Macaca mulatta: one gene and its partners. The protein of the gene in region 2 interacts with the protein of the main gene of each other region in a pairwise test. Links are inferred from orthologs where the notes say so. Each region holds a gene or a part of one and is shown on either strand. Other genes may lie near its edges. The genes, in order: DPPA4, CRK, PPFIBP2, PSMC6, PTPN4 and USP53.

Region 1 (3,603 bases), on a different chromosome or scaffold from region 2:
GCAGCGATGCAGCCTCTACCTACCTCCCTGGCTCAAGTGATTCTCCTACCTCAGTCTCTTGAGTAGCTCGGGCTACAGGCATGTACCACCATGCTCAGCTAATCTTGTTTCCTTTTTGTAGAGGCAAGGTTTCACTTGTTGTTGCTCAGGCTGGTATCCAACTACTGGACTCAAGCGATCCTCTTGCCTTGTCCTCCTAAAGCACTTGGATTACAGGCGTGAGCCACAACGCCTGGCCTGCATGACAGTGTGTATTAAGATGATACCCAGAGGAGAATCCACACTGCCAGTGGAGTCCAGTGACTGCCTTGGTGCCTTAGAAGTGAGTTATCTTGAGGCAGGTAGTGTATGTGTGGTTTGGACACTGGAGGAATGACTGACCAGCTCCTCTGTTCCCAGTAGACCTCCACAGAGAAGTCGAGGGAAGAGGATCAGCAAACTTCTAATCAACCAAACATGATTGCTTTGCCAGGAACATCAGCAAAGGGAACCAAAGAAAAAAAGTCTGTCAAAGGCAATAAAGGTAAGAGGTCTTCAAATCCTCAAATTCCACTTTCTCAGGTCTTAGAAGCCAGAGGAATTTTTCTGAAGAAGAAAAGCCAGGGAAGAAATTTCCGTCATATATTTTGCAAATCCTACAGTTCATGGGAGTCTAGCTTAAACTGCACCTTCCTGAAGCATCTTTTGGTCACCATTGCCCTAACCGATCCCTTCCTATCTTCAGACTTCCACAGCATATTTGGTTCTGTTGATCATTTTTTCCTTCACTTGCTACTTGGAGTTAAGAATTTCAATGTGCAATGATTTGGGAACAGACAGCTGTAAATTTGAAGACCCATTCTTGAAACCGGACTACCTATTCTAAAAATAAGTTTGAACAATATCTACCTTTATTCGGGTGTGGGAATGGAGTGTTAAAATTTACATAGAATAATTAAGTGAAGTACTTACACTATGCCTAAGAAGTAATGGCCGGGCGCGGTGGCTCAAGCCTGTAATCCCAGCACTTTGGGAGGCCGAGACGGGCGGATCACGAGGTCAGGAGATCGAGACCATCCTGGCTAACACAGTGAAACCCCGTCTCTACTAAAAAATACAAAAAAAAAAAAACTAGCCGGGCGAGGTGGCGGGCAACTGTAGTCCCAGCTACTCGGGAGGCTGAGGCAGGAGAATGGCGTAAACCCGGGAGGCGGAGCTTGCAATGGGCCGAGATCCGGCCACTGCGCTCCAGCCTGGGCGACAGAGCAAGACTCTGTCTCAAAAAAAAAAAAAAAAAAAGAAGTAATATGTACACAGTAAACCCTACTAACTCTAAGTGTCATTACAGGCTGTGTCTTTTTTTTTGAGACACCAAGACAGGGTGTTGGTCTGTCATCCAGGCTAGAGTGTGGTGGCACCATCTCAGTTCCCTGCAACCTCTGCCTCCCTGGTTCAAGCGATTGTCCTGTCTTAGCCTCCCAAGTTAGCTAGGATTGCAGGCGTGTGCCACCATGCCTGGCTGATTTTTGTATTTTTAGTAGAGACGGGATTTTACCATATTGGCCAGGCTGGTTGTGAACTCTTGGCCTCAAGTGACCCATCTGCCTTGGCCTCCTAAAGTGCTGGGATTACAGGTGTAAGCCACCAGACCCAGCCTTAGACATTTTTTTGGCATGATCCTGGCCCACTAAAACCTCTGCCTCCCGGATTCAAACAGTTATCCAGCCTCAGCCTCCCAAGTAACTGAGATTACAGGCATGTGCCATCATGCCCAGCGAATTTTTTTTTTTTTTTTAGTAGAGACAGCATTTCACCATGTTGGCCATGCTGGTCTCAAACTCCTGACCTCAGGTTATCCCCCCACCTCGGCCTCCCAAAGTGCTGGGATTACAGTGTGAGCCACTGTGCCTAGCCAAATATCTTTACTGAATGAAGACAAGGTATGTGAGGTGCAGAAGCAGGATGAACAGAAACACAGCTCAGCTAAGGAAGCATACCTGCTATGAAACCAGAGTGCTGCCCTGACTAGGGTGGGCTGGCAGAATTAGGAATATTAGTGGTTGCCTGTGTAGTATTGTCAGGTGTTGAGTTTGCTCTGTGTGTAGAGGACACCACTGAGTATGATCTCAAGTCTAAGACAGCGGTAATTCCCCTCGGGTGGAAGTGCCATCTCTGGTGCCACCACCTGGGTTCTGTGGATTAAGGGGTTCACAAAGGTATGATCTCAAGTCTAAGACAGTGATAATTCCCCTGGGATGGAAGTGGCATCTCCGGTGCCACCACCTGGGTTCTGTGGACTAAAGGGTTCACAAAGGAGCACGTGTACCTGAGTAGTGGGGAGATTGAGGAATAAAACTGGGATTTAGAAGTGGTAAGTCCTAGGTTTGAGAGGGATTGAACTATTAATAACTAAAACTGATTTTAGGCCGGGCGCGGTGGCTTAGGCCTGTAATCCTAGCACTTTGGGAGGCCTAGGTGGGCAGATCACAAGTTCAGGAGTTCGAGACCAGCTTGGCCAACATGGTGAAACTTCACCTCCACTAAAAATAGAAAAAAAATTAGCCGGGCGTGGTGGTGGGCATCTGTAATCCCAGCTTCTCAGGAGGCTGAGGCAGGAGAATCGCTTGAACCCAGGAGGCGGAGGTTACAGGGAGCCAAGATTGCGCCACTGCGCTCCAGCCGGGCGACAAAGCAAGACTCTCAGAAAAAAAAAAAAAAACAGTGATTTTACTTTTGAAATTCTGAAAAGGTACACAAAGTTAATTACTACTAATTTGATTCCATTCTCCTTCAGTGCTCTGTCCTAAGAAGAAGGCAGAGTGCAGTGACAACCCCAGACCTCAGAGGAAGATACCAATCCCTCCATTACCCTCTAAACTGCCACCTGTTAATCTGATTCACCGGGACATTCTGCGGGCCTGGTGCCAACAATTGAAGCTGAGCTCCAAAGGCCAGGTGAGGGCCTAGGCTGGGGATGGTACTGCTGGGAGGAAGGGTAGGAACCTTACTTGCCTTACTAACTCAGTTTTCTGTTGTCTTAGAAATTGGATGCATATAAGCGCCTGTGTGCCTTTGCCTACCCAAATCAAAAGGTAACTTTTTAAAGGATGTACGTTTCAGTGCTTATCCTAATTACCTATTGTAGCCTCAAAAGTGAGTAAAGGAGCTGTCTTAGCCTCCGCTTGTCCCTCCACCCCTAGTTCTAAGAAAGAACAGTATTTTCCATGCCTGCTTTCCTTTTTTTTTTTTTGAGATGGAGTCTCACACTGTCACCCAGACTGGAGTGCTGTGGCACCATCTCAGCTCACTGCAACCTCCACCTCCCGAATTCAAGCAATTCTCCTGCCTCAGCCTCCTAAGTAGCTGAGATTACAAGCACCCGCCACCACGCCCAGCTAATTTTTTGTATTTTTAGTAGAGGTGGGGTTTCACTATTTTGGTCAGGCTGGTCTTGAACTCCTGACCTCGTGGTCTGCCCACCTCGGCCTCCCAAGGTGCTGGGATTACAGGTGTGAGCCACCGTGCCTGGCCTTCCATCCCTACTTCTCACCAAGTCTGCAAAGAATAATAAAAATGAGGCAGCCCAGCCTGGCCAACATGGTGAAATCCTGTCTCTACTAAAAA
Region 2 (4,275 bases):
CAGCTAATTTTTGTATTAGTTGAGACGCGGTTTCACCATATTGGTCAGCCTGGTCTAGAACTCCTGACCTCAGGTGATCCGCCTGCCTCAGCCTCCCAAAGTGTTGGGATTACAGGCGTGAGCCACCGTGCCCGGCCAGATCTGTATTTTAGAAAACTCAGTGGGAGCTGTTTGCAGTGCAATTAGAGGCAACCAGACGAAAGGGCACCAGCGAGCAAGCCACTCATAGGAACACAGTCCAGAGTGACCATGACGGCAGTGAAAGTAGGAGATGCCCCTGGCTACAATTTAGTGTTTAGAAGTATCTGGGAAGGTGACCCGAAAGCCTCAAAAGAGAGGAGAACTCTGTACTTCACGTGGCTTGGCACACTCTGCTCCCTTTGCTTTGAATGTCCTTCCCCTTTTGTCATTCAGCAGTCAACACATGCTACCTCCTCTGGGAAGCCCTCTTGGATTACTCCGCAGACTGGATGGAGGGGGGCTCTGCTCTGTGTTCATGTCCGTTTCCCATGATAGCGCTTGTCAGCATTTGTCATCCTTTTGTCATGCAGTTTCCTGGTTCCTCTCACTGGTGTGTGAGTTTGAGGAGTGCAGGGCCCAGCCTCCATCACCTTTGCACCCGCAGTGCAGGTGGAGTGTCAATAACAATGTCCTGAATGAATCAATGAAAATGAGAACGTCAGCCGGCCTGTGGAGAAGCTAGAGGAACGAGAAGAAACAGACCGACATGGCCGGGAGCGATGTTTCTCGCCTGTAATCCCAGCACTTTGGGAGACCAAGGCGGGTGGATCACCCGAGGTCAGGAGTTCGAGACCAGCCTGGCCAACATGGTGAAACCCCCGTCTCTACTAAAAATACAAAAATTAGCCAGGCGTGGTGGCGCTCGCCTGTAATCCCAGCTACTTGGGAGGCGGAGGCAGGAGAATCGCTTGAACGCGGGAGGCGGAGGTTGCGGTGAGCCGAGATCGCGGCACTGCACTCCAGCCTGGGCGACAGACACACCGTCTGAAAAAACAAAAAAAGAAAAAGAAAAGAGAAACAGACTGATATCCCAGGAAGCCTGGCCGAGAACTGAGGCCCCAGGGCCACACGCGTCTTTTCTCCTGCAATCCTGTCTGGGAGCCGCCGCCTAGAAGTCCCGGGCCGTCCGGGAACGCGAGCCTGAAGCAGCACCGCGCTGTCGGCGGCGCAGGCGCACGTCTCTGCGGGAGGCTGCGAGGCCCCGCCCCCGGGCCCTAGACCCCGCCTCCCATCCCCCTCATCCCCGGGCCGGGCAGGGCGGCACCGCCCATGAGGCCGCATGCGCAGTGCGCGCGCGAGGGCGCCTTGCCCTTCTCCCAATGGCGGGCCGCGGGCCCCTTCCCGGCAGCCTCCCTCGGGCAGGGAGCGCGTCATTTCCGGTGGGGAAGGCCCGCGGCTGCCGCCGCCATTTCGGGCGCTGCTGTGAAGCTGAAACCGGAGCCGGTCCGCTGGGCGGCGGGCGCCGGGGGCCGGAGCGGCGCGCGCGGCGGCGGCACCCCAGCGTTTAGGCGCGGAGGCAGCCATGGCGGGCAACTTCGACTCGGAGGAGCGGAGTAGCTGGTACTGGGGGCGGTTGAGTCGGCAGGAGGCGGTGGCGCTGCTGCAGGGCCAGCGGCACGGGGTGTTCCTGGTGCGGGACTCGAGCACCAGCCCCGGGGACTATGTGCTCAGCGTCTCAGAGAACTCGCGCGTCTCCCACTACATCATCAACAGCAGCGGCCCGCGCCCGCCAGTGCCGCCGTCGCCCGCCCAACCTCCGCCGGGTGAGGGACTGACGGGACGGGGGGCCCTGGGCGGGGTGAGGGCCGCGGAGCTCCCAGCCCGGCTGGCTGCTCCTCGAGAGCGGACCCTCGGGGTCGTGGGCAGAGGGCTGGGTGACCGTGGCAGGGGCCCGCCGGCTGCTGGGGCTCATTCCCACCCGGGGAACAGGAGTGTGGGGGAGGAGGAGCCGCGGACCGAGGCCCCGGGGTGTGCCTGGGAAGGGCAGCCCCGGGGAAGGGGAACTGCTTCGGCCCCAGGGTGGGGCTGGCTCCCGGGCCAGGCGCAAGGGTAGGGCAGGGCAAGGCAACGTGGGGACAAAGAGCTGAGGGAGATGTTGGCACTGCGGGGGCATCACTTGGCAGCGGCGCCCAGAATGAATCCGATAATCCTACAAGTGGCTTTTGGGCTGGAAGCGTTTCCTGCCGTGTTGGAGAGCCGGGTTTGGCCGTGCTCCCCTGGTGGCCTTTGGTAGGAAGTCACCACAAACTGGCCGGGAGGGATGGAGACACCCTCAGGAAACCGGTTAGTTTTTTCCTTTCTTGGGCATTTTTCCAAAATCCTTGTACCGTCCTCTTCCCCCGTGGAGGACGAAGGTGGTGAATTAAGTGATAGAAGAAAGCCTTCAGTGACCAGCCCAACCCAGTTTAAGGCGATGCCTGGCTGCGTGCAGGAGATCTAAGCGTCCAGAAGACTGTCCGCCGGTAGAGGGTTCTGGTTTTCAAAGTGTTTAGTGGAGGAAAGACATTTTATTCCAGAGAATAAACCAGAAATGAGGCAGTGGAAACAGACCCTTCCCTGGATGTGACTGGAGCTTCATTTTCCTTGGACTTACACATTGTCAGTGTGTACTTCAGGGCGTGACCTTGCTCAGTAAGATGGGGCTGCGGGCTGAGTCTTCCTGGATGGTGGGAACAGACTCTACGCCAAGAACATAAATTACCTGCGCTGGGTTTTTCTTGCCAGGGATCCCTGAGATTGACTGTCTTTCCGATGCCGTTGGAGTTGATTTGGGAGTGTTTCAAGGGAATAGATAGATGCCCTTAGTACTGGAGATTTGTGAGGTACGAAGTAATTCTGGGGTTCTCATTGTATGTGTACCTGTTTAACAGCATCAGGAGTCCTCGTGCCTTCACACTGTTGCCAAGTCGAAGCTGTTTCTTCTTGGCCGCTGAGACTGGGTTCAGACTAGTCTCCTATGAATCAGGAAGCTCCTGAGCCATCCTCTGTAGACTTTCTCTTGTAGGATCGTTCTAATTTAGATTTACTTGTTCCGGCCAGAAATGGAGAATTGAATAGCCAGTCTCTTTGTTATTAACACATACCAATTTTTATTTTACTTTTTCCTGAGACGGAGTCTCGCTCTGTCGCCCATGCTGGAGCTCAGTAGCGCGATCTCGGCTCATGGCCACCTCCACCTCCCCGGGGCTCCCGGGTTCAAGATTCTCCTGCCTCAGTCTCCCGAGTAGCTGGGATTACAGGCACCCACCACCACAACCAGCTAATGTTGTATTTCTAGTGGAGACAAGATTTCACCAGATTGGCCAGGCTGCTCTCAAACTCCTGACCTCAGGTGATCCACCCTCCCAAAATGCTGGGATTACAGGTATGAGCCACCGTGCCTGGCCAACACATAACCAATTTTTTTCTTATTTTATTTATTTATTTATTATTTATTTATTTTGAGACAGAGTCTCTCTCTGTCACCCAAGCTGGAGTGCAGTGGCGCCATCTTGGCTCACTGCAACCTCCGCCTTTTGGGTTCAAGTGATTCTCCTGCCTCAGCCTCCTAAGTAGCTGGGATTACCAGTGCCTGTCACCACGCCCAGCTAATTTTTGTATTTTTAGTAGAGATGGGGTTTTACCAGGTTGACCAGGTGGGTCTTGAACTCCTGACCTCAGGTAATCCACTCGCCTTTGCCCCCTCAAAGTGCTGGGATTACGGGTGTGAGCCACTGCACCCAGCTTTGTTTGTTTGAGGCGGAGTTTCACTTTTGTTGCCCAGGCTGGAGTTCAGTGGTGTGATCTCAGCTCACTGCAATCTCTACGTCGTGGGTTCAAAGGATTCTCTTGCTTCAGCCTCCCTAGTAGCTGGGATTACAGGCACACGCCACCATGCCTGGCTAGTTTTTGTATTTTTAGTAGAGATGGGGTTTCACCATGTTGACCAGGCTGGTCTCGAACTCCTGACCTCAGGTGATCCGCCCGCCTCAGCCTCCCAAAGTGCTGGGATTACAGGTGTGAGCCACCACACCCAGCCCAACACATAACTATTTTTAGAAAATGAGTATGGGGTCTATAAGTTCACAAATTATTGTAGATCTTTCTCATTCTGGCCAGTTTAATGGTGTTATGAGATGGGAATATTGATGTACCTGTGTTGGCCCTGAACCAGATATATGCTACTTTGATGCCACCTGCATGGTATCTGGGGTTTTGCATTATATGTAGTAACATGATGGCAAACTGTTATTGAAACTCACTTTTCAGCCTTTT
Region 3 (3,603 bases), on a different chromosome or scaffold from region 2:
ACAACTTGTTCCAGCCACCCACCCCACCATTCTCCAACTGTGGATTGTGGTGGTAGGTGCAGGGATCTTATACAATCACGGAAAGTGCCAAGGATGCTGCTCAGAGGCCACCAGCACCAGGACTGGACACTCACTCAGCCTCAGCAGGCTGCTCCCCGTGGCGTCAGGCTGGCAGACAGTGGGAGGAGATTTGGCAGCCTCTCCATTGGGCGTGGGTCCCGAAAGCTTCCCAGGTAAAGTGGGATATTTGTGCTCTGCCAAGAAAGGGCTGTCCTATTGGAAGGTGAGAGAAAAAGAGAGATATCGACTTAGCTGTCAGCCTCAGTTAGGAAATCCTTGGATACAGAACAACTCCCTGTTTTCTAAGAGACATTTTTCACATATGGTGACTTGAAGACCCCTCAAAGATTATTTAGCTAGTCTGAGAAAAGGGACCAGAGTTCCAAGGAAGGAAGAAACTTTTCCAAGGCCACACAGTAAGACAGGGACAGAGTCAAGTGCAAATCTGGGGCTGACTGCAACTGCCTCTAATAGGAAGTGAAGTTGTCTTGCAAAGGGGCCTTTGCTGTCTGGCCTAGTGCTCAGAGACCCAGTGAATTAACAGCCATGAATGACTCTGCAAGCTCTTTGGATATGAAAATTGGCATTCTAGGGGGCGGAGCAAGATGGCCGAATAGGAACAGCTCCAGTCTCCAACTCCCAGCGTGAGCGACACAGAAGACCGGTGATTTCTGCATTTTCAACTGAGGTACTGGGTTCATCTCACTGGGGAGTGCCGGACGATCGGTGCTGGTCAGCTGCTGCAGCCCGACCAGCGAGAGCTGAAGCAGGGCGAGGCATTGCCTCACCTGGGAAGCACAAGGGGGAAGGGAATCCCTTTTCCTAGCCAGGGGAACTGAGACACACAACACCTGGAAAATCAGGTAACTCCCACCCCAATACTGCGCTTTAAGCAAACAGGCACACCAGGAGATCATATCCCACACCTGGCCGGGAGGGTCCCACACCCACGGAGCCTCCCTCATTGCTAGCACAGCAGTCTGTGATCTACCGGCAAGGCAGCAGCTAGGCTGGGGGAGGGGCGCCCGCCATTGCTGAGGCTTAAGTAGGTAAACAAAGCTGCTGGGAAGCTCGAACTGGGTGGAGCTCACAGCAGCTCAAGGAAACCTGCCTGTCTCTGTAGACTCCACCTCTGGGGACAGGGCAATAACAAACACAGCCGAAACCTCTGCAGACGCAAACGACTCTGTCTGACAGCTTTGAAGAGAGCAGTGGATCTCCCAACACGGAGGTTGAGATCTGAGAAGGGACTCCCTGCTCAAGTGGGTCCCTGACCCCTGAGTAGCCTAACTGGGAGACATCCCCCACTAGGGGCAGTCTGAAACCCCACACCTTACAGGGTGGAGTACACCCCTGAGAGGAAGCTTCCAAAGCAAGAATCAGACAGGTACACTCGCTGTTCAGAAATATTCTATCTTCTGCAGCCTCTGCTGCTGATACCCAGGCAAACAGGGTCTGGAGTGGACCTCAAGCAATCTCCAACAGACCTACAGCTGAGGGTCCTGACTGTTAGAAGGAAAACTATCAAACAGGAAGGACACCTACACCAAAACCCCATCAGTACATCACCATCATCAAAGACCAGAGGCAGATAAAACCACAAAGATGGGGAAAAAGCAGGGCAGAAAAGCTGGAAATTCCAAAAATAAGAGCGCATCTCCCCCGGCAAAGGAGCGCAGCTCATCGCCAGCAACGGATCAAAGCTGGACGGAGAATGACTTTGACGAGATGAGAGAAGAAGGCTTCAGTCCATCAAATTTCTCAGAGCTAAAGGAGGAATTACGTACCCAGCGCAAAGAAACTAAAAATCTTGAAAAAAAAGTGGAAGAATTGATGGCTAGAGTAATTAATGCAGAGAAGGTCATAAACGAAATGAAAGAGATGAAAACCATGACACGAGAAATACGTGACAAATGCACAAGCTTCAGTAACCGACTCGATCAACTGGAAGAAAGAGTATCTGCGATTGAGGATCAAATGAATGAAATGAAGCGAGAAGAGAAACCAAAAGAAAAAAGAAGAAAAAGAAATGAACAAAGCCTGCAAGAAGTATGGGATTATGTAAAAAGACCAAATCTACGTCTGATTGGGGTGCCTGAAAGTGAGGGGGAAAATGGAACCAAGTTGGAAAACACTCTTCAGGATATCATCCAGGAGAACTTCCCCAACCTAGTAGGGCAGGCCAACATTCAAATCCAGGAAATACAGAGAACGCCACAAAGATACTCCTCGAGAAGAGCAACTCCAAGACACATAATTGCCAGATTCACCAAAGTTGAAATGAAGGAAAAAATGTTAAGGGCAGCCAGAGAGAAAGGTCGGGTTACCCACAAAGGGAAGCCCATCAGACTAACAGCAGATCTCTCGGCAGAAACTCTCCAAGCCAGAAGAGAGTGGGGGCCAATATTCAACATTCTTAAAGAAAAGAATTTTCAACCCAGAATTTCATATCCAGCCAAACTAAGTTTCATAACTGAAGGAGAAATAAAATCCTTTACAGATAAGCAAATGCTTAGAGATTTTGTCACCACTAGGCCTGCCTTACAAGAGACCCTGAAGGAAGCACTAAACATGGAAAGGAACAACCGGTACCAGCCATTGCAAAAACATGCCAAAATGTAAAGACCATTGAGGCTAGGAAGAAACTACATCAACTAACGAGCAAAATAACCAGTTAATATCATAATGGCAGGATCAAGTTCACACATAACAATCTTAACCTTAAATGTAAATGGACTAAATGCTCCAATTAAAAGACATAGACTGGCAAACTGGATAAAGAGTCAAGACCCATCAGTCTGCTGTATTCAGGAGACCAATCTCACACGGAGAGACATACATAGGCTCAAAATAAAGGGATGGAGGAAGATTTACCAAGCAAATGGAGAACAAAAAAAAGCAGGGGTTGCAATACTAGTCTCTGATAAAACAGACTTTAAACCATCAAAGATCAAAAGAGACAAAGAAGGCCATTACATAATGGTAAAGGGATCAATTCAACAGGAAGAGCTAACTATCCTAAATATATATGCACCCAATACAGGAGCACCCAGATTCATAAAGCAAGTCCTTAGAGACTTACAAAGAGACTTAGACTCCCATACAATAATAATGGGAGACTTCAACACTCCACTGTCAACATTCGACAGATCAACGAGACAGAAAGTTAACAAGGATATCCAGGAATTGAACTCATCTCTGCAGCAAGCAGACCTAATAGACATCTATAGAACTCTCCACCTCAAATCAACAGAATATACATTCTTCTCAGCACCACATCGTACTTACTCCAAAATCGACCACGTAATTGGAAGTAAAGCACTCCTCAGCAAATGTACAAGAACAGAAATTATAACAAACTGTCTCTCAGACCACAGTGCAATCAAACTAGAACTCAGGACTAAGAAACTCAATCAAAACCGCCCAACTACATGGAAACTGAACAACCTGCTCCTGAATGACTACTGGGTACATAACCCAATGAAGGCAGAAATAAAGATGTTCTTTGAAACCAATGAGAACAAAGATACAACATACCAGAAT
Region 4 (3,603 bases), on a different chromosome or scaffold from region 2:
TCTGTCCCCTCTGTGGAACTCTTTTTTTTTTTTTTTTTTGAGACAGAGTCTTGCTCTGTCGCCCAGGCTGGAGTGCAGTGGCGCGATCTCGGCTCACTGCAAGCTCCGCCTCCCGGGTTCACGCCATTCTCCTGCCTCAGCCTCCCGAGTAGCTAGCTGGGACTACAGGCGCCCACAACTGTGCCCGGCTAATTTTTTGTATTTTTAGTAGAGACGGGGTTTCACCGTGGTCTCGATCTCCTGACCTTGTGATCCGCCCGCCTCGGCCTCCCAAAGTGCTGGGATTACAGGCGTGAGCCACCGCGCCCGGCCTCCTCTGTGGAACTCTTAAAAAAGAAATGTCTAAACTCAATGCCTCTCTTCTCAATCTCTCTGAAACCCATCTGAAATAGGCTTTCACCTCCACCACTCCCAAGAAGCTACTTTTGACAAGATTATCAATTACCTCCACATAGTTAAATCCAAAGGTCTACTCTGAGAACTCTTTATCTGACCTATTGTCAGCATTTAACAGGAATAAATTTAAAACAAAACAACAACAACAAAAAACCAAACCAAAAAAACCAGGCCGGGTACAGACGCACATGCCTGTTATCCCAGAACTTTGGGTGGCCGAGGTGGGCAGATTGCTTGAGCCCAGTAGTTCAAGATCAGCCTGGGCAACATGGTGAAACCCCTTCCCTACAAAAAAACAAGCCAGGGTTGGTGGTGTGTGCCTGCAGTCCCAGCTAATCAGGAGGGTGAGGTGTGAGGATCATTTGAGCTTGGGAGGCAGAAGTTGCAGTGAGCTGGGATCACACCACTGCACTCCAGCCTGGGCAAGAGTGAGACCCTATCTCTAAAAAATTACCTTCTTGGTCAGTCCTTCCCTATGCTAATCCTCCCTGTCGTTTAAAAATGTATATCCTCATGCCTGCTCCTGGCACTTCCCTAATTTCCTATCCCCCTTTTCTTTTTTTTTTCCCCTGAAACAGGGTCTTGCCAAACTGGAGTGCAGTCACATGATCATAGCTCCCTGCAGCTTCAAACTCCTGGCCTCAAGTGATCCTTCTGCCTTGGCCTCCCAAAGCATTAGGATTACAGGAGTGAGCCACCATGCCCACCCCCCACTTTCTTGCTTTATTTTTCTCCATAGCACTTACCATCATCTATTATACTTTGTTTTACTAACTTTATCTGTTTTTTCCTAACAAGAATGTAAGTTATCTAATGGCAGAAATTTGTCTGTTTTGTTCCTTGATATATCGTCAGCCCTTACAAAACACTTACAATGGTTCCTAGCATAGAGTAGATGCTCAATAACTATTTGCTGAATTTAAAACCAGATTTAGGAAACTATCAGTAATTTCTAACAGTATTTTTCTTCATTTACCAAATATAAATACATATAAAATAGATGACTTCCTTACCTATTTCACCATGCTTTGTAATGGGACCTGCGTGGATTTTCAGTATGTCTAACCTTGCTTGTTCATTTGGCAAATCAATATCTGAAAATAAAAAATTATTTTATAGTCCAGTTTTATCTTTTATAAAATACAGTGGAAGGTGAAGTGAAGCACGGAAAAACAAATGGGCACAAAGGGAAATAGGTAGTAGGTGAAGAACCTTAACTCACGTATTTTTCTATCTAATCTTCCTGGACGCAGCAAAGCAGGATCCAGTGTATCTGGTCTGTTTGTAGCCATGATCATTTTAACTCTATGCAGAGTATCAAATCCATCCATTTGATTCAGTAACTAAGAATATTAAGAATCAGATTGTACAAACATTCTAACCATTAAAAAAATAGCATGCACCTTTTATATATCTAATGCCATGAAATGTATTGTCTACTGATAGATATGTTCTATCTTCAGAATGGTCATTTGATAGAATTCTAATTTTCTCTCTATTATATAAAGGGATATACTTTCTAGCCTCAAAGTTCTAAGCTAGATTATGTGCCTTTTAATAGCTATGTATCTTTCTATAGCTACCAGGTAGTTTTAATAAATCTGAAGGCTTCCATCATGTCAAGAATTATGAAATTAAACTATGTGGATCTAATTTCCAATGTCCAAAATTTTATCAATTTTTTTAAAAATAAAAGCTAATAATAAAATCCAATATATAAAGTGCTTATGATATGTCAGATACAACATTTATATTAGGATAACTGGATACAAAGATTTTTCTACAAATTTGATAGTAAACCCATAATTTTTTTTTTTTGAGACAGAGTTTCACTCTGTCACCCAGGCTGGAGTATAGTGGCCTGATCATTGCTCACTGCAACCTCCGCCTCCTGGGCTCAACCAGTCCTCCCACCTCAACCTCCTGAGTAGCTGAGGGACTGTTTTTTTTTGTTTTTTGTTTTTTGTTTTGAGACAGATTCTTGCTCTGTTGCCCAGGCTGGAATGCAATGGGGCGATCTCAGCTCACTGCAACCTCTGCCTCTTTGTTCAAGCAATTCTCCTGCCTCAGCCTCCTGAATAACTGGGATTACAGGCACGTGCCACCACGCCCAGCTAATTTTTGTATCTTTAGTAGAGACACTACATTGGCCAGGCTGGTCCTGATGCCCAGACCTCATGATCTGCCCATCTGGGCCTCCCAAAGTGCTGGGATTACAGGCAGAAGTTACCATGTCTGGTCTATTTTTTCAAATAATTCTGTACACAGAAATATTGAAAGACATAAAAAATATTATCTCAATTTCTAAAGTTTTCTTGAATAAATGAAAAACCTTACTGCATTTAACAAACTAAAATATAGCTAGTCTGACAATGTGTTAGTTGATGATATATTTAGTTACTTGAATAAAATTAGTATTTGTGTCATTTAAAAATATCTCAATTTAAGGTTTCTAAGATATTTTATAATTTCCAAATACTATGTATCTTCTGAGCAGATCTGTATAATTTATGAAAAGAGATTTTTCAAATACTCCTAAGAAGAAAGAATGGACACTGCATTTCCCATGCTACCTAGTTTCTATTTGAAGTGGCAAATGTATTTGGACTCTTGTTATCACTTTCACAGAATTTGGAGTGGGGAAAGGTAAAACTGGGGGAAAGCTTTATGTGCATTCTTTCATTGTGTCAACTATCCTCTTCAATTATCACAACTATTTTAATTGCCTCAGTCTCAGCAATAAAGTGAGAGAAAAAATAATTTTTAGAGCAGCTGCATACATAATTATAGCTCATTTATTGCCAACGGTCTTAATATGACCATTACATAAAATGTCTTCATAAAACTACCACAAGATCACATTCATAAGAATCAATTTAAATATATGAATGACTGATCTGCTCAAAACACACAGAATAGTACAGGTATATACCAAATGGAATTTGGCAGATAGCCTTATTTTCTAGTAGTCATTTTCTTAGAGTTTGTGATAGAGAAACATGTTCGTTCCTGACAATATTTTCAAATTTTATATTTCATTTAAAATGTTCTATATATTTTGACTATCAAATATGCAATGTTCAGTTCTTCATTTAATAAACACTGGTTTCTTTATAAACCCCCTTTACTAAATATTACCTCCATTAACGTTCTCTGAATCTCTCTGTCAGCTGAAGTACCCTCAGAAAACCGACGACCACCTAAAAT
Region 5 (4,217 bases), on a different chromosome or scaffold from region 2:
GATTTGTAGTCATTTTGTCGGCTTGGGGGGAAAGTGGTTTTGGAAAGATCGTCTTTATAAAGGTAGGCTCTGATAGGATGCTCAAGCTAAGAGCAAGGAAGGACAAAGAAGGCACCTGGAGACAGAAAAGGGCACTAATAAAAAATTGGGCAAAAAGGAAGTGTGGCGGTCCCCAAATCCCTTCTTCCTCCATTTCAGCTGAGATCACCCGCAGGCAACTGTCCTATTACCAATAAGTTTGTATGACCAATAAAATATTATGCACCTAGCTAAAAACCCTGGCGTGATAACACCAAATTCATGTTATTGGAATGAACTAAATTTTAAAAAGCACACCGTTCAGGCACACAGAAGGCACCCCCGAACGTTTGTTTTATAAACGAAGGTTGGTTGCTGAGGCTTTGTTTTGGAGCCTATGTTTAGGAGAGGAAATGATTCAAAACTGCCCCCCAAAACTTATATCCTTTAGGAGCACTGAGGTTGGGGCGACCTGCTGCCAAGCGGTCTGGTTTTCCCTTTTAACACTGGCTTCTTGTCCCACTATCCGGTCCCTCAGGTCAGTGGGTGCAGCAGGGGTCGCAGCCCAAGCAACCAATCGCGATGCGGCTGCGGGGCGGGGGCCACAGCGCTCCGCCTCCCCCTCCAATCCGCGCTCCAATCCGCCCTCCCAATCCTGCTAGGCCGTCCTCTCTCGCACCTGCGTGTCCCTTCGCGCTCCGACTGGAGCGACTTCTCATCCCTGCGCTGGCGGGGCAGGCTTTTAGCCTCGCTTCTCGCGAGATCGCCTCCTGCTGCTGCCGCCGCCGCTCCCGGCCGCTGACTGGCGGCGCCTGCGCAGCCGCCATGTTCGGTTGCTATGCTGCGGCCTGGGAGAGGGGGTGTGCTTGAGGGAGGAGGAAGAGATAGCGGAGGAGGAGGGGGAGGAAGGGGAGGTGGAGAAGGAGGGGGGTGACTGAGCTCCTCTTGCACTCTCACACACAAACGCTGCCCAGGATTACCCGCCAGCTCACGCCGTGCAGCGCGCTTTTCCGCTCCTCGCGCCCCACCAGCAACATTGTTCTCTCAGGACTCCTGGGTTCCAGGGGCCGGAATTGGGCCTGAGCCGGAGAGGAAAGAGACTTGGCTTTGGCCGAGGGGTCGGAGGATTGGGGCCAGGCCCCCCTCCCCCACGCACTTTTGGGGGTGTGGATTATCTCATCCCCGCAGGGAGGTAGGAGAGGTCGCCGGCTGCCCGCCTCCCTGCCACCTCCCTGGCGACGCCGGCCCGCGGCTGCCCAGCAGCATGAGGTGGTGCTGGCGGCTCCGGGTCGTGGCGCGACCGCTGCGGCGGCGGCTGCTCGGGGGGCGCTGAGGTAGCCCCCCGGAGCGGCACGGCGGACGCGCTTCTCCCCTGCGCGCCGGGGCCTCGAGGCTTTTTTTCTCCAGCCGAGAGGACGCGGCTGTGATATACGAAGGTAAGAGGTTCTCCGGTCCCCGCCGGCCTCTCGGCCCTGCACGCTGAACGCGAGGCTCTTACCTGCATGTGTGGCTCCTGGGAGGTGAGCCAGGTAGAGCAAGCCTGAGGTACGAGGATGATTTAAAAGGAAGGGAAAAAAAAATGCCTTATTTCCTTTCTTCCCGGGACCTCTGCTCTTGCGGGGGTTATAGTTGGAATCTCTGTTATGGGTCAGAGAAGGGACAAGGGATGGAATAGGTGCGGAGATGGAATGTTCCCCAGTACCTAAACTCTAGGTAAAGCTTTGGAATCTTGAGTTTTCCATTGCTGGTAGAATTCCTTTTTTTTTTTTTTTCTTAAATTGGCTCATATGAGCGCTTTTTGCACGTTGCATGAGCCAACTCTTCCTACCATTGAAGTTTTAAGCCTGTTATGATTCTATCAGTCTATACCTGTATTTGGGAATCTGTAGTTCAGCTAAAAAAAAAAAAAAAAAAAAAAAAAGTTGTAGGTAAATAATGATGCATTTCGCAGGGTTTCCATAAAATGGAACAGCTTACAGTTGCACAGGTGATGTGTGGATGTTTCTGCAAAACTTGGGGTGGAAGATTTTATGTCTGGGCTTGCATCATGTAGTGACATCAGTATGTACAAGGACGATTTGTAGGATTTTTCAGAACGCTTGTTCTAGGGTAACTTGTTATACATCTGCAGTATGCCAGCTGCTTTTCGAATAAGAGGTTTCAGTAATACTAAGTTTCTGTGTCCAGATCTTGGGCCCAGTTGAAAGAGTACAGCGGATTGGTCACATTTAAAACGTATTTATGGAGAAAGATAAAAACAAAAGGCCAATGTGTCCGACTTGCAAAAGGCAATTAGAGTAGAAAGAAGATTGGAATAGTAAAAACCAGGGCATTTTAAAATCTTGGTTTTCTGAACTTGAACGTGCCAGAGGAAAAAAATTTTTTTTCAATTTTAAGGGGGAAGGAGATGGCCTTAAAATAAAGTATTGTTCAGAGCCTAAAGTGTGCTTAATGGAATAGAGCTAGATATATCATTTAAATCTTAGATTTGATTAATATAAATTCAGCTTTCTTTTAAAGAAAAAACTCCTAAGCAAAAGTTTGTGTATTGTACAGAACCTCTTCACTAGCTCATGAATGTGATCATTTTGTGGACATCACCATTTTTTGTCAGAATAAATTTATGCTCCAGTTACCACAAAAGCAATTTTTATGTCTCTTCGCATTTTTTATGGTACACATATCTTTGTTACATTTTGCATTGAAACACGCACGGTCCCATAATATGATCTTGAGTGATTTATAAGAGAAACAGTCCTTTTTGTACATGGGAATGTTTGTGATTTTGCTAGTCTGTTTTAAAAATTTGGCAAGAGGTTTTTAAAATCCAAGGAGGCATCACTATTTTGTAGTTTTTAAAAATATTAATTGAGTAGGTCCACGTTTATTAAGTTAGAAAATCACAGGTTCCTCAAAAGTAGTAATAGATGAGGATGGGATTTTCTTACTGCCCGTTTTGTAACGTCTTAGCTTCAGAGCTGTAGGTATTGAATTGAGTCAAACTTGTGTTTTTTTCTTATGTTCTAATTAAATATCTTTTAAAATGTCCCTGGTAACATTGTTACTTTAAATTTATAACACCCAATTTCTAATTTAGGCTAGGCATAAAACCAGCATTGATTGAACATACTTGCTAAAAATACTTTCTGGGTCGGATGTACTTAGAATGCAGCCTCAGGAAATTTCATTTGAACTATTCTGTGACCAGGGTACACTTCATTATTGTTGAAGGACTTTAAAAAAAATTATAGATCTCTCATACTCGATTTAATCAGTTTGGGCATAGATGCCTAACTTTTAAAAAAAGTATAATAAAGTGAGATAGTAATACAGTTTATGTGAGATGGTAATAAAAACTTTTCAGCTTTTTTTTTTTAACTTATATGACTTCGTTAGATTGTTATTAAAGTGTGATTTGTGTTTTTAAAATAGTATTGTTTTTTAAACATAATTGAGTTGTACAGTATCCATTGTTATCTGTTTAGTATTTATTTATGACTTACAAACTCTAAAAGTGGGATCAGTGATCATGGTTTTTAGTAAGTTGTCTTTAAGGAGCAAAGTAAGAGACTAGCAGAGAATTGCAAGGAGGTCTGTTATCGAGAGTACTTTTGCCTCCGCTTGAGAGTTAATATGGCCACTTTTAAACAAGAAAACTTTTCTAAAAATATGTGGAAATCTTGTTTGGTGTATGTTTAAGGGCAAATGTTTAAAAATTCTGCCTAAATTCTTAGAATGCAAAATTGATCAACTCACTAGGAATGGTTGCTGTGGCTAGGAGTGGTTATTGTGGCTAAATATGAATTGTTGCTCCTATATAAAATTTAGCTATTGGTAGAAGTTTACGAACTGAGTTGAATTTTGTTGTTTTTCTCGGTTATTGCATGTTATGAAGTTTTTTATGTACCACAGTCCAGATGTGTTAAATTTGCCAGTTTACTAGAATAAGCTCTGAAGCCTTGAGTTTGGCTTAGCATTCCGAACATCCTTTTTATTGTTTGCCAGAAAAGTACTGTAGGAAGGAGGTGTTGTTCTCTCTTCATTTAACATTTAATTAGTAGTACAGACGGTGAGATAGGGTATAATGTAGAAATACCATAGAATCATCTTTATTGATATGAAAGTACCATTGTCTAGGAACAGCATAATTTCTTACCTTTTGCATGAATGGGGAAAAAGAGGAGGGGAAATTTATTAGA
Region 6 (3,603 bases), on a different chromosome or scaffold from region 2:
AAGGACTGAGTCTGGATATGAAAGCAGTGATCACATCAGTAATGGATCTACTAATTTGGACTCACCTGTTATCGATGGAAATGGTACAGTAATGGATATCAGTGCTGTTAAAGAAACAGTATGCTTCAGGTAATGTAAAAGTTGAGTGAATCATTTTTCCATCACTGTTCTTTCTTGTTAATTGCATGAAGTAATTGTCGAAGTTTGGGGTCAATTAAATAGGATGGAAACAGCATGAGCTGTTTTAAAGAGCTTTAAAAAGTTTGCTTCTTCTAAACACAAGTATGTTTCTGTAAAGAAACCTAGGATATTGCAGTTTATTTGATATTTTAGATTTCTATTTTTAATAGTTATTTCCTGATTCCAAAAATAGCAGCTTTTTATTTTTAGAAAATTTGGAAAGTACTGAAGTTTATTATCATTGTTGTGTCACTGTCAACAATTGACTGGTTTTAAAGCACAGACTTCAATTGGTATCATCTCAGTCATTAAATTGGTTGTTTAATTCTTCTTTTTTTGTCTTGAGGGGAAGGAGTCTCGCTCTGTCGCCCAGGCTGGAGTGCAGTGGTGCAATCATGGGTGACTGCAACCTCTGCCTCCTGGGTTCAAGTGATTCTCCTGCCTTAGCTTCCCAAGTAGCTGGGACTATAGGCACACACTACCATGGCTGGCTAATTTTTGTATTTTTAGAGACGGGGTTTTGCCAGGCTGCTCTCGAACTCCCAATCTCAAGTGATCCACCTGCCTTGGCCTCCCAAAGTGCTGGGATCAAAGGCCTGAGCCATTGTGCCTGGCCTGTTGTTTAATTCTTCAATGTATGTAATGTTTATAATCTCATCTCTAACATTTGTAACTCAGAACTGAAGCTAGTTTTTACTGTCACAACTCATTCTCATGGAAGATATTTTCCCTTTAGCAAATATAAAAAAATTCAATCAAATAACTTTGTGTTCAATTAATTCTAAAGACATTTATTATATTACTGTTTAATCCTTCTAACATGTGTTTGTTTGATATTAGCTGATATTTGACCACATTTGTTATTAAAAGGTAGATTTGCAAATATCAACTGCTCATGTTTTATGAAAATGCTGTTTCAATAAAGACTTAAGGAAAGGGCCAGGTGTGGTGACTCACACTTGTAATCACAGCAGTTTGGGAGGCTGAGGCAGGAGGATTGCTTGAACCCAGGAGTTCAAGACCAGCCTGAGCAACATGGAAAGATCTCATCTCTATGAAAAAGTTTTAAAATATTAGCCAGGTATGGTGGCATATGCCTGTGGTCCCAGCTACTTGGGAGGCTGAGGTGGGGGGATCTTTTGAGCCCAGGAGGTTGAGGCTGCAGTGAACCATGTTTGTACCACTGCACTGCATCCTGGGCAAAAGAGCAAAAGGTCCTGGCAAAAAAAAAAAAAAAAAAAAAAAAAAGACTTGACAAGGTAATTTTATAATTCTTCTTGGAATGGAGTAGCCTACGGTAGTAGAAAGATCAGGATTTTATAACCAGATAGACTTAGATTTTAATTATTGGGCAAATTTGTTTGACTTTTACAGTCTTTATCTTCTCTTGTAAAATAAAGATAACTACTTTTAGTATTAAATAATGTACATTAAGCCCTAGAACAACACATGGTATATAATAAATGTTTAACAAATTTTTTTTTCTTTTTTTAGAATAAACAAAGGCAATCCATAATAACTGATGTGTTTAGTGTGTATTTTATTTTCTAGTGACCAGATTAAGACAAGCAACCTAAATAAAGAATGTGGGGACTGGACCTCCCTTCAGAGCCAAAATCACTTAGAAGGTAAAAAGCTTATTTGAATATAATAGTTGCTGTAAAAAATAAATTGTAGTAATGTATTGTTTGCTATTATGATGTACCTGAGAGAAAATCCTATATGACTATAAAAATGACTATGAACATTATTTTTAAATAACCCTAAAATATCAATAAACACATTTTATGAATATATTATGTTTTAAATTATGTTTTAATCAAGTACATGTGGAAAGAAGGAAATCAGCATTCTTTTTTGTATGTATATTGTTATACAAAAGAAAGCATGCTATACTTTCCACATTGGCTTCACAAAGTGTTAATAATGGTTTTGTATCTTACTTTTTATTTGATTGGATAACTATTGCTTTTGAAGTTTGCAGCCTTTTTAATGTGCTGTTTGGATATGTCTCTGATATTAAAGATAGCATTATTATTTTTTGATTTAGATGATGAAGTCTTTCAATTTTTTTTTAGTAGCCATTTGCATTTTAAGTGTCCACATTAGGGACCCTTGAACACGTTGCTTTTCATACTTGTCCTTAAAACTGTTATTTGAGACTCAAATAGGCAGGAGTATCTGTCTATGGTGGCTTGTTAACACTTTACTTTTACTTAACAGAAGGTATATTTCTATATTTGCAAATAAAAATGTCATGTTCTGATAGCTCAGAAACTGTCTATAGACTGTTGGTCTTTCTGACTTTACCCCCTACCTTTTATGCCTATGCGAAATAGGCATAAAAAGAGAATGGTCCACTGGGGTCCATTGAGGTAAGAGTAAAGAAGATAAGAATGGTCCTGTTACTGATAAGTTTATGAGTAATGATGAGGGAAGTTGAGAGCATTCATACTTGAAGGCTTTTAAAGGATGGGAAAAGCTATGAGAAAAGGGGAAACTCTTATCAGGATAGGTAGGTTTTAGATTATGCAATGGTAGTATCTTCAAAATCTCCAGGTGTTAACTCAAGTTTGTTTCTTGCTCACAATACAAGTCCAGAGGTGGTCAGTGTAATCTCTTCTTAGGAGTCACTCAGGATCCCGGGCTAAGGGGATATGGGTGAGAAGGAGATAAAGGAAGATATATTGTGGAGAATCACCTGCCAACTCTTAAAACTTCAAACCTGAAGTGACACATGCACTTCCACTTCTGTATCATTGACCAGAGCTAGTCTTCTAACCAGGCCTGATTTCAGAGAAGGTAGAAAACTGCAGTTTTACAGGTGCTTGGAATTGAATGGAAGCATGTGTGTACAATTCTAATGACTGTCACAGTAGTTAAAAACTGATAGAAAGATTGATAAACAGCCTTCTGGAAAAGTTCCGTTTGGCAACAATAACTGTGCAATGGTGTGGAATGATTATAGGCGATTTGTTAGCAACACATAGTAGCCCAGAAGCAAAGAAAGTTAGAAATTTGAATGTATACAGGATTCAGGGTTGCTATTGGGAGTATATACCTGAAGAATTTTGGGGAGAGAAGTCAAGGAAGATGATTTGCAAAGGAATTATTATGCTGCGATCAAAGACAATGTTTTCAAATTTTATAATTCAGAGGAGTAGAAGGGATATAATTTTTCACAATATAAAAGAGCAATGAACAGCAAATTTTAATGTTTTTTAGTCTTTATTATCCTTAAGGCTTTTGTGGGGATTATTTTTCAGTTTGCAGACAAAGAATGTGATTAAATGTTAAATTATTTTGTTTTCATCAAATGGTATACTATCAGAAGGAAACACTTATATTAAGGAAATAACCTTCCTTTCCCATATTCGAATGTCTCGCCTGATAAAATCTGATAAGTTTTGTAACCAAGTATTA

What was found.
Region 1: the proteins of CRK (region 2) and DPPA4 interact in binary tests that used the Homo sapiens proteins (3 or more experiments, as listed by UniProt). The two-hybrid records come from large-scale screens. The link is inferred for Macaca mulatta from reciprocal best matches to the Homo sapiens genes CRK and DPPA4.
Region 3: the proteins of CRK (region 2) and PPFIBP2 interact in binary tests that used the Homo sapiens proteins (3 or more experiments, as listed by UniProt). The link is inferred for Macaca mulatta from reciprocal best matches to the Homo sapiens genes CRK and PPFIBP2.
Region 4: the proteins of CRK (region 2) and PSMC6 interact in binary tests that used the Homo sapiens proteins (3 or more experiments, as listed by UniProt). The two-hybrid records come from large-scale screens. The link is inferred for Macaca mulatta from reciprocal best matches to the Homo sapiens genes CRK and PSMC6.
Region 5: the proteins of CRK (region 2) and PTPN4 interact in binary tests that used the Homo sapiens proteins (3 or more experiments, as listed by UniProt). The link is inferred for Macaca mulatta from reciprocal best matches to the Homo sapiens genes CRK and PTPN4.
Region 6: the proteins of CRK (region 2) and USP53 interact in binary tests that used the Homo sapiens proteins (3 or more experiments, as listed by UniProt). The two-hybrid records come from large-scale screens. The link is inferred for Macaca mulatta from reciprocal best matches to the Homo sapiens genes CRK and USP53.

What each region holds. Positions count from the first base shown.
Region 1 is NC_133407.1:174,306,210-174,309,812, forward strand, and holds part of DPPA4 (developmental pluripotency-associated protein 4), read left to right. Parts: intron 1-402; coding exon 403-523; intron 524-2,773; coding exon 2,774-2,934; intron 2,935-3,020; coding exon 3,021-3,071; intron 3,072-3,603. UniProt on the Homo sapiens protein: May be involved in the maintenance of active epigenetic status of target genes. May inhibit differentiation of embryonic cells into a primitive ectoderm lineage.
Region 2 is NC_133421.1:3,001,103-3,005,377, reverse strand, and holds the start of CRK (adapter molecule crk), read left to right. Parts: upstream 1-1,428; 5' UTR 1,429-1,543; coding exon 1,544-1,784; intron 1,785-4,275. UniProt on the Homo sapiens protein: Involved in cell branching and adhesion mediated by BCAR1-CRK-RAPGEF1 signaling and activation of RAP1.
Region 3 is NC_133419.1:57,938,822-57,942,424, forward strand, and holds part of PPFIBP2 (liprin-beta-2), read right to left. Parts: intron 274-3,603; coding exon 135-273; intron 1-134. UniProt on the Homo sapiens protein: May regulate the disassembly of focal adhesions. Did not bind receptor-like tyrosine phosphatases type 2A.
Region 4 is NC_133412.1:125,843,046-125,846,648, reverse strand, and holds part of PSMC6 (26S proteasome regulatory subunit 10B), read right to left. Parts: intron 3,597-3,603; coding exon 3,535-3,596; intron 1,740-3,534; coding exon 1,619-1,739; intron 1,491-1,618; coding exon 1,410-1,490; intron 1-1,409. UniProt on the Homo sapiens protein: Component of the 26S proteasome, a multiprotein complex involved in the ATP-dependent degradation of ubiquitinated proteins.
Region 5 is NC_133417.1:17,732,672-17,736,888, reverse strand, and holds the start of PTPN4 (tyrosine-protein phosphatase non-receptor type 4), read left to right. Parts: upstream 1-1,362; 5' UTR 1,363-1,454; intron 1,455-4,217. UniProt on the Homo sapiens protein: Phosphatase that plays a role in immunity, learning, synaptic plasticity or cell homeostasis. Regulates neuronal cell homeostasis by protecting neurons against apoptosis.
Region 6 is NC_133410.1:128,294,178-128,297,780, forward strand, and holds part of USP53 (ubiquitin carboxyl-terminal hydrolase 53), read left to right. Parts: coding exon 1-129; intron 130-1,731; coding exon 1,732-1,808; intron 1,809-3,603. UniProt on the Homo sapiens protein: Deubiquitinase that mediates 'Lys-63'-linked deubiquitination of tight junction proteins, such as MARVELD2 and LSR, and which is involved in the survival of auditory hair cells and hearing.